Drosophila melanogaster: one gene and its partner. The protein of the gene in region 1 interacts with the protein of each later gene in a pairwise test. Each region holds a gene or a part of one and is shown on either strand. Other genes may lie near its edges.

Evidence for each region. Proteins that work in one complex are often made in the same cells at the same time.
Region 2: the proteins of Cpes (region 1) and CG5618 interact in a two-hybrid assay, tested with the Drosophila melanogaster proteins (one large-scale study listed by BioGRID).

What each region holds. Positions count from the first base shown.
Region 1 is NT_033778.4:23,862,401-23,867,241, forward strand, and holds Cpes (ceramide phosphoethanolamine synthase), read right to left. Parts: upstream 2,999-4,841; 5' UTR 2,712-2,998; intron 2,497-2,711; exon of another isoform or gene 2,360-2,496; intron 2,323-2,359; exon of another isoform or gene 2,202-2,322; intron 2,009-2,201; 5' UTR 1,949-2,008; coding exon 770-1,948; 3' UTR 562-769; downstream 1-561. Other genes in the region: CG5569 (uncharacterized protein), read left to right, coding at 3,123-3,373, 3,787-3,985, 4,040-4,180; Mtpbeta (mitochondrial trifunctional protein beta subunit), read right to left, coding at 4,353-4,841. UniProt on the Drosophila melanogaster protein: Catalyzes the biosynthesis of ceramide phosphoethanolamine (CPE) through the transfer of a phosphatidyl head group from cytidine 5'-diphosphate (CDP)-ethanolamine on to the primary hydroxyl of ceramide.
Region 2 is NT_037436.4:20,352,379-20,357,183, reverse strand, and holds CG5618 (uncharacterized protein), read right to left. Parts: upstream 3,265-4,805; 5' UTR 2,959-3,264; coding exon 2,779-2,958; intron 2,385-2,778; coding exon 2,197-2,384; exon of another isoform or gene 2,055-2,196; intron 1,880-2,054; coding exon 904-1,879; intron 840-903; coding exon 651-839; 3' UTR 552-650; downstream 1-551. Other genes in the region: kin17, read right to left, coding at 1-287; eRF1 (eukaryotic translation release factor 1), read right to left, coding at 3,630-3,739.

The DNA.
Region 1 (4,841 bases):
TACGTTCCACGCTCGGTTCTTGACACAACACACGCTTCGATGCACAACCACTTTCAATCGGTGCGAAATAGGAATCAGGTAATATTTACAATTGACAGCTTAACAAATTTTCAAACGACGAGTGAAGCATTTCTTCTCGCTTTCCGTTTTGATTTTCTTTTCCTTTGTATGTATCGCCTGACGTATGCGCAGTGTGGCCGAACAGGGCTAGTGAGAAATACCAGCCGGCGGGTAGATATACTAAAAGTGTATTATTTTTAGTTAAAACAGTGCATTGTCACATAAATTTTAATAGCCTCTTTATTAAACTATATGAGCGTTGATTGCCACTATGAATATCTAAGCAATATATTACATTACAATATGGCAATTATATTGGCATTTGGTACTGTCGAATAAAATACCAAACCTTGCAGTGCTGCCCATCAGCTATACCAAAAAAAAACTTGGCAGCATTGCGCATCGTGTTCATTTGAAATTTCGAAACACAAAACATTATAAATAAATTCAAACGAAATTAGCTCGCCATGGAAATGCGTACGATAAAAACAGCTAGACTTTATTAATCAATAACATTTATTATTTACAGCTGAAGGAGTTTCGATTGCTCTTGCAGACCGCGCTTGAATGACAAAATGCATTAGTTGGTTTCGAAATATTAATGATTGGCTAACAATTATGATACATTATTATTTATACACAATTAAAAAAGGCATCGCTGATTTGCACTACACAAATATTATTGTATTTTCTCGTAATATTAGTAAAATCACAGTGAAATATTACTGCACGCCGTAGAGTTGAAAATGTAGTTCTGGGCCTCCAGAATGTGCATTTCAGTTAAACATATAGCAACTAACAGGATAATGTAACCGCTGTACCGGATCGCGCGCAGGAAGTCCCACAGCTTGTCGCAGAAGATGCTCAGCAGGACGCAGTGCAGCAGGGCGTGCACGTTGACGATGCGCCACATCCAGGCGACGCAGAAGAACCAGGTCGACTTGAACACGTAATCCTGGCAATGCGACTGGTTGCCGCTCACGTCCTCGCGCTCCAGCATGTTCTGGTAGACGGCAATGTAGCGATTCCACGCCGTCGAGCTCAGCAGCAGCTGGCCCGTGAAGCTGATCACGTTCTTGGCCACCTTGCGCGTGGTGGCCTTCATCTTCGGTATCATCATGGTGGGCTCCGGCAGCTTGGAGTCGCTCATGGGTATGATCGAGTAGCCCCTCCGCGGTGGATTGTTCTTCAGGTAAAAGAATATGCCCAGCAGCAGCGCAATGCAGCCGAGTCCGTCGCACAGGCCGTCCACATAGTAGCCGGAGGTGCCGATCTCCGAGCGCTCGCCGCGTATGTGCTTGCGCACGCGCGCCACATGCCCGTCCAGGTCGTCCAGGAAGGTGCGGATCTGGAAGAGCAGCACGCCCAGCCGCCGATAGCCCAGGCTGTCCGAGGCCACCAGTTTGCCCGCCAGACAGGCCACGCCCACATGGAAAAACGATATCATGTTGGGCGTGATGAAGGTGGAGCGCGAGAAGCCGATCACGTTGTCGAACATGGTGGCCAGCGGGGCGAACAGGTAGTGGTTGGTGTGGTCCAACAGAATGGCCTTCACGGTCACATGGCAAAGCGGATTTATATCACAGGATATCCAGGTGTGGTCCTCGTAGGACGGCTGCCGGTCGCCGGCGGTGGGTAGTTTCGTACTGGTGCTGCTGCTACTGCTGCTGCTGCTGCTGCTGCTACCACCGATGCTGCCGGACCCGGACTCCGAGGTGGACGGACCCACGACGGAGGCGGGCAGCGAGACATTCGTGTGATAGTTCCTCTCGATGGCATAGTTGTGGATGCGCAGGTAGAGCTCCACGTCCATGAAAACGTAGAAGATGATCAGCAGGAACAGCAGGGTGAGCAGGATCTTGCTGATCTGCGAACTGGGTCCGATCATGGTGACACTTTGAGGTAGCGCTTAACACTAAGTTCTTATCGGGCTGATTTCAGGGCGCAGCTGTGGGGCGGAAAGAAGTGAAGCTGATCAATATGGTTTATCGAAGCGAAGTAGTTGTCAAGATAAGCCGCGCACGGCATAAAAAGTTTGGCAAGCAACATGCAGGGTTTTGAAATCCCCTTCTGAAATTCTGAAATCGTATATGCGATCATAATAATGCTCAGCTATCAAAGAGTGAAAGCTAACAACTAACCACTGGCAATGCGTTCTTATCGAAGGAATTTTTGACACTTTGGGGAGCGACCGCAGTGACGAAAGAGGCGGGGAGAATAGAGCAATATGGTCAGTTACTGGTACTGGATGACTAAATCAGCCCACTTGGGCACCCACACATACACACACACACCCCACCTCAGCCCGCCCAGCCGAAGCAGCGCACTATCTGTTCCACTATCTGCAGGTATTTGCGGAAGCTTTTGGCGAGGCACTGGGAATTATAGGCGCTATTAGTAACCTTTTAACTGCCAATGCCGATTAACGGGGCTTCTAATTGGCTGCAGGAGTGTGCGTGCACGCAGCAATCCATCACACACACAGCACACACACACACACTCATTGGGCGTGCGTGTGTTGGTGGAGGGGTGCTCCCTGATAAGTGGGCATATGGTAATGGAACCATTTATGGGCTGGAATTGGCGATCGAAGTGATATAGGTGATATGGGTGATAGCTGCGGCCATTGCGTTGGGGGAATTGGCACTCACCGCCTTGCTGAATCATTGAAAACGAATATAGACTGTATCAAAACATTGCAGTATTTATTACTGCGATGGGGTAATGCGAGCAACTTGTTGGAGTTGCAGCCTGCAGACACTGTGGCACTTAGACGTAGTCAACAATAGCACATAGATAGATAGTTATTGCTAAAACACACGGATAAATGTAAAAGTTTATGTTAATTGTTCGTAAATTTCGTAAATTAATGGCCGACCAGTGTGGCCAGCGTCGCGCAAAATATCGTGCACCAGCGAGGAATCCAGCGCTATCGATAACATTCGGCCCGCGCGCTTTGGGCACCTCCGGTCACTCTAACCGGTTAAACTTTTCAACTTCAGTCTATTTTGATAGTTTTAAATTGTTGTAATAGCCATTAATTACTTTTCTAACACAAGACCATGATTGCGCGCACCCTGCGAACGGTGGGCCGGCAAGGTCGCAACCTTCTGCTACCGCGCATCACCGCCTGTCGCCCACTTCACGCTATTCCGGCCAACTTCAGCAAGGCCTACGACCACGACGGGAAGACCAAAGTCACCATCTTCAACACCGAAACGGATCTGGGCCTTATGGTCACCGGCTACAGCCAGTACGGCTTCCGGCTCAACAACGACATGGTCCTCATTGGCCCCATCTCCGTGTTTCCCAGGTAGGTGGCCTTCGACGGATGCATTGGCTCACCCAATTATGTAAACAAGTGCATGTGATTTATGCCATGGCACTCTGATGATCATACAATCCCAATCCCAAGCTTAGTTATGCACGCCTTTGAGTTTATTAAACAGAAGTCAAGGATTTATTGGGAAAAGTCAAAGAGAATGACTTCTTCATTTAAAGTTTCATACAAAAAAATGTTGATGTAAAAACTACCAATAGTTGTTAAAGGCTTTTTGAATGCTAATTTAAATTTTAATTATTTCAATAACTTCTTACCTTATAGCCTCTATTTGTTTAAGTTATAAGCTTTCGATGGCTTTTAATAGTGATATTGTTTATAAGTATTAATATGTCATAAGTTACTATCTGAAGCTAAAGTTTAATTTTATGTTTTACTACTTACAGATCGGTTCTGTCCTGGAACGTCAACAGCTTTGAGGACATCAACGAGGACAGCCTCAGTCTCTTCCCCACCCTGGAGCCAAAGATCGACGTGCTTATCATTGGCATTGGCGACCAAGCACCGCCCCCAGCTCTTTCCAAGAGGATCATCGAGTTCATGAAGAAGTACAAGATAAACGTAGAGATCCTGCGCACGGAGCAGGTAGGTATTAATCACTCCCCGATCTATATCCATATTGAATGGCACTCTTTGCAGGCATGTGCCACCTTCAACTTCCTGAATGCCGAGAACCGAATGGTGGCCTGCGCCCTGATACCCCCGCTGCACCTGTCCTACAACGAGAACGACATTCTGCAAGCGAAGCTGCGGAAGAAGGAGCTCTACGAGACCGAATAGGATTAGTTAGACACATCTAATGATTGTTTGAAAGGCTGGTGCTCTGTTAGAAATTAAACTGTTTTGTAAAATTCAGATTTCTTTATTCGTATAGACGTAGTTGTAAGGTGTATAAAAGCTAGCAATCTCGCAGTTAAACTGCACTCTCCTCCTTGTCGATTAATTGGCGATTTCAGTCGGCTGTGGCGCCCGGATAGCGCTCAATGAGCATAGCCACGCCCTGTCCACCGGCCGCGCAGGCGGCGACCACGCCCAACTTGCCATCCTCGCGCACCAGGCGGTTGGCGGTGTGCATGCAGAGGCGGACTCCTGTGGCGGCGAAGGGGTGGCCGATGGACAGAGAACCGCCCCAGTTGTTCCACTTGGACAGGTCGGGAGTGCCGACCTTCTCGTTCAGGCCCAAGTAAGTCTTGCAGAACCAGTCGGAGTCCAGGGCCTTCAGATTGGCCACGATCTGTCCGGCGAACGCCTCGTGGATCTCCCACGAGTCAATGTCCTTCAGCGTGAGTCCAGCCTTCTTGAGCAGCTTGGGAATTCCGTAGGCGGGTCCCAGCAGCAGCTGGTTGACGGGATCCTGCGACACGAACAGGAAGTCGCGCAGATAGGCCTTGGGCTTGAGGCCCAGCTGCTTGGCCTTCTCCTCGGTCATGATAATGCAAGC
Region 2 (4,805 bases), on another chromosome or scaffold:
TGGTAGATCTTGTTGGCGCTGGTTCGCTTCGTGCCGAACCGCCGGCGCAGCAACTCCATGTAGCCGTCGGAGAACTCTTTGCTGAAGCTGTGCAGGAATTTGCCAGGATTGTCCGCAAAGAGGAGCAACTGGCGCTGGTGGGACTCGCTCATCGTGTGGCACTTGAAGCCGTTTTCATCGCGGCACTGCTTCTCGCACATCTGGCAGTACCAGCGCAGCTTCTGCAGACCCTTCGATTTCATCTTGTTGGCGAGGTACTTGGGCGTACCTACCTCGGCGCGACCCATCGTAGCGTCTTTTTATGTGCGTGGTTTTACAAATAATTTCTCAACAAAAACTTATTGTTTTGATCTCACGTAAAGGTATGACCGCGCTGGGGTATAACAACAATACCCGTGAACACTTTTATCGATAGTTACTGCTGGGGGATGTTCGTGTGACCAGGCTAATATTATTTGTTGATAGCGGTAGAAAATGAATTTAAAAAACTTAATATTCATTTCTTGAAAGATTTTTATTTAAATATTCAAAATAGAGATTAAGCCGAGTTTACATAATAAAGGCGTATTTTTTATCACAAAGTAATAACTACAATGAAATGTACAATTGAACGATTTCCATTAATTAGCTTAATTCACATAGAAAATAATTCAAAGCACAATTTTCTCGCCCAATCTCTCAATTTCGTCCAAAATGAAGTCCAACTCTTTGCTTTTCAGGATGGGAAAACAAGTGAAGACCATGCGAAAGAAGTTGCCCAGATTTTTAGCTTTAAGAGGCGAGTAACCAATCATCAAAGTGCCGCTGTGGGCCATTTGCTCCTTAATTTTCGGGGCCACCTTTAAAGGAGCATATAAAAATGTGAGCTTAAATGGTCTATCAAAGCCATTGTTATTCACTTACAGTGTAAAGTCGACTCCACCATTCAGGCGTCTCCTCCTCGCTGGACACCCTCATTGCTTTCGGAATGAACCAAAAGCAGACATTGGAGTACTCGTGCTCCGGGATCACCAGTCTAAAGCGATCTCCACGCTGGCGCAGCTTGCCTTCCAGCAACCTGGCGATGTGGATGGCGTGGTCCACCATGAGTCCATACTTTCCATATCCGCGAGCCTTAAGCATTAGCCAGAACTTGAAAGCGTCGATCTTGCGGCCGCACTGGACACTCTTGTTTCCCGTATCGTAGGATACATCATAGAACTTGTCCTGCTGGAACAAATAGTGCGCCTCGGTGCTGTTGCATCTTTCCAGCAGACGGCCAGATTCCCTGGTCAAAAAGAGTGAACACTGCAATGGAGCGCCGATGGTTTTGTGCGGATTCCAGGAAAACGAATTCGCCCGCTCGAGGCCGGCAATGAGCGATCGGTTCTTGGCGGAGAGTAGTGCAGCGCCTCCCAGACAGGCGTCCACATGGAGCCACAGACCATGTCGTTCCGTCACATCCGCCGCACCATTGATATCATCAAAGGCACCCAACACAGTGGTGCCTGCAGTACAGTTGACAAAGAACGGTTCACCGCCACGTGCCTTTGCCTCTGCGATCTTCGCCTCCAGGTCGTCCAACAGCATCTGACCCCGCTCATTGGTCCTCACCGACACACAGTTGTAGCTGCCCAATCCCAGCCAGTTGGCCGCCTTCACGAAGCTGTAGTGCGACTCGTCGGAGGTAAAGAGCACCAGCGGTCGCATTCCAAACATTCCAGACGTCTTCACCTCGGGCGCGATCTTATAGCGGGCCAGAACCATGCCGTACATGTTGGAGGTGGAGCCACCGGGCGCAAAGATGCCATCGCCTTCCTTGTATCCCGCTAACTTGCAGATGGTCGCGATCACCTCAGTTTCGATCAAGCTAAACACGGGCGCAACTTCGTAGGTGTATCTGAAACAAAAGTTTATTGTGTCTTGTTGGATACCTCGGTTAAAAGTCTGATTTTGGTAGTCCTATCTAGGAAATCTCATCTAAATGATTAATAACTTGCAATGATTGTGTATGAACTCTGCTTAATCCCCATTTAAATTAATCGAAAGGGGGGGGGGGGGGTTATGAAACATACATGTAGTACTTTGCAATCTCCATTACATAGCGCAATTATCTGTACGTTGAACCCCGACACCACTTGTAGATTGGAACACGAGATGCAATCAGCGGTCACTCATATAGACAAGACACATGTGTGGAATAAGGCGCAGACTTACGTGCTGCCGTTCATGGCCTCGGTGACCAGGGCTCCTGCCAGTCCAAACGGGTCCAGCTGGCCAAAGAGCTGATTGTGGAAGCGGCCGTGCGAGGTTTTCACAGAGTAATGGATCACCTGCTGGCACAGCTCCTCGATCTCCGCGAGCGAGCAGTTTTCCGTCTCTCGAACCTTCAGGTTAATCAGTTCCTGGAAGTGATGGTGCGAAATCATGTAATCTCAAGATTGTTATAGAACAGCGACTTTTGCAATAAGAAAGTATATTAAAGATTCAACATATTTCTAAAACGTTTTCTGTTTCGAACTAATAATATCTTTACCCAGAAAAAACCGACCATAATCTATGAAATAACAAACAATTCAATTATAATTAAAACTATCAGATACTAGCATGAGTGTGCTCAATCAGGAAGTGCTACTATCAATTGACTCACATTTCGTCGGGCAAGCCATAGTACAATTGCTACAATTTGCGGTCGGGTGGTCAATTTTCGAATGAACTCTTCCATTAATCAGTTCTCTGTTATCTCTGGTTATCTCCACATCGGCAGACGCCGAATCGTCTATCACTTGCTCCACTCACCTTAAGTTTGTCTGGCTGCAAAAAGGGGACTATCTTCTGCTTGTCCCATTTCTGGGGATCCACGCAGAAGGTATCCTCCTTCCGGAGAAGGTGGAATACGTTCTCCAGGATCTTCCAGTCGTCCATGAGGCCATCGCGAATCTGGTCAACAGTCTCTGCTCCATCCACTGATTCAGCCATACTACACTCGGTCGGTAGAAGTTTCCGTATCTCAATTGGCCAGTAAAAGGCTGATTATTTTTGGCTTTCGAGATCCGAACCTCTTCCGTCGACGATTCAATCAGAAGTGCCCCGTCCGACTGCAGCAGATTGTGTTTTAATGTTATCTTGATCAAATTCTCATCAAGTTGTAAACCCTCGTCTTCGCTCGCACTCAAATGGAAATACAAATGATCGGGGCTGTAAGAACACACATACACCTCCACGCTTGTGCTCTTTAGAGTGAACCTCGTTTTATTACGAAAGCGAAATAAAAGTGATATTAAAGTCGTGCATATTTAGGTTACTTAAACATACAATATATATCAATTAAGCACGTGCCTTATTAGCTGATTCGGCTTATCTCGTAACCAAAATCCTGCACAATTCGTTTTCTTTTCATCTCGACGCATTATCGTCAAATTCAATCGAAATTTGCATATTTACCCTATCGATTAAACAAGTTTCATGTGCATGCCACCAGAAAACTTGGTCAACTAATTGGATGCCCAACACCGCAGAACTTAGCTGAGCTTACTTTTTGGAAGTCTCGCTGCAATGATTACTTACAAATATTCAAACGAGTACGGATACCTGCACGACACTGCGGCTCAGAAACGAGTTTCAGCTCACCAGATGTATCTGAGCGATTCTTAGATGCAAATCAAGGGCGAAACAAGTACTACGAGTGCTTTTTGCTGTCGTCCACGTGCATTGCCAACTAATGAAGTGGGAATCTCGCAGTAAACTGTTTCCAGTGTGCCTGCAAATAGAAAGTAGAAAATGAAATGCCCATTTCACTTTACTTTCATTGCTGTACTGGTAGTACTCCAAGTGGCTACCAGCATTTTACTTATCCAGCAGATAGCAGAGTCGGAATTTTATCAGCTTTCGGTGCAAATTTCGTTTTCAAGCTATAATAGAACGATTAAAACTCACAGATACAATTCTCCTTGTACCCAAAAACTTTAGGAAACGTGGCGTATTGTCAATGTAGATTTAGATTTAGATTTATAGAGGAACAATTAATTATATAACAAGAGCTCTAGTCCCTCGAAAATATATTCAAATTGCAAATTTGTTCACGTAAAACGGTTGCATTTTAATATGTTTTCCTCGATTTAACATTTTATCGTTTGTATCTATATGCATTATTTAAAATTTTACTTTTTTCGCCAACAACGTAAAAATGGAAGAAGGTTTGTGTTTTCTCATATTATTTAAATATTCTATTTGATTTCCTGGATTCATATAGTTGTAGTTGCAGTTCAGTTTGCGGTCGAACGTAGTGGCAAATTCATTTCTACAGATACATTTCCTAGTAATCATCTAGATCGAAGCCATCATTGTCCAATTCATCGAGCTGCATACTCTGGAAATCCACCTTGTAGCGTAAGATACCTGCAGAGGCACACCCAGCAATTGAATTAAATTAAAATAAGAAACAAAAAAAAAAAAAAAATAGAAGAACAGAAGCTGATTGAAAATTGAAAAATAAATGAAGAGGAAAAAACAAAAGGATCAACACACAGGATAGTTCAACCGAAACTCAGATTCTCACCTCCTTTGTATCCACATTTAACTTTTCATACACTAAATAAAATATTTGTTGTACTTCGCGACTGAATATAAACGGATACCCCATCCTCATTGTGTGGTGTTTTTATTCTGGTTTAATTTTTATTACAATTTTATGGATTAGATTTGTATACTTTCTTATAACACTCGGCTATAATTTGAATAGGGGAAATGCAGATACGTTCGAAAGTGGCATGTGGCAGTTAACCGAAGATCTTTTGCTCCTAATACCGCAGTCGAAATCGAACCAG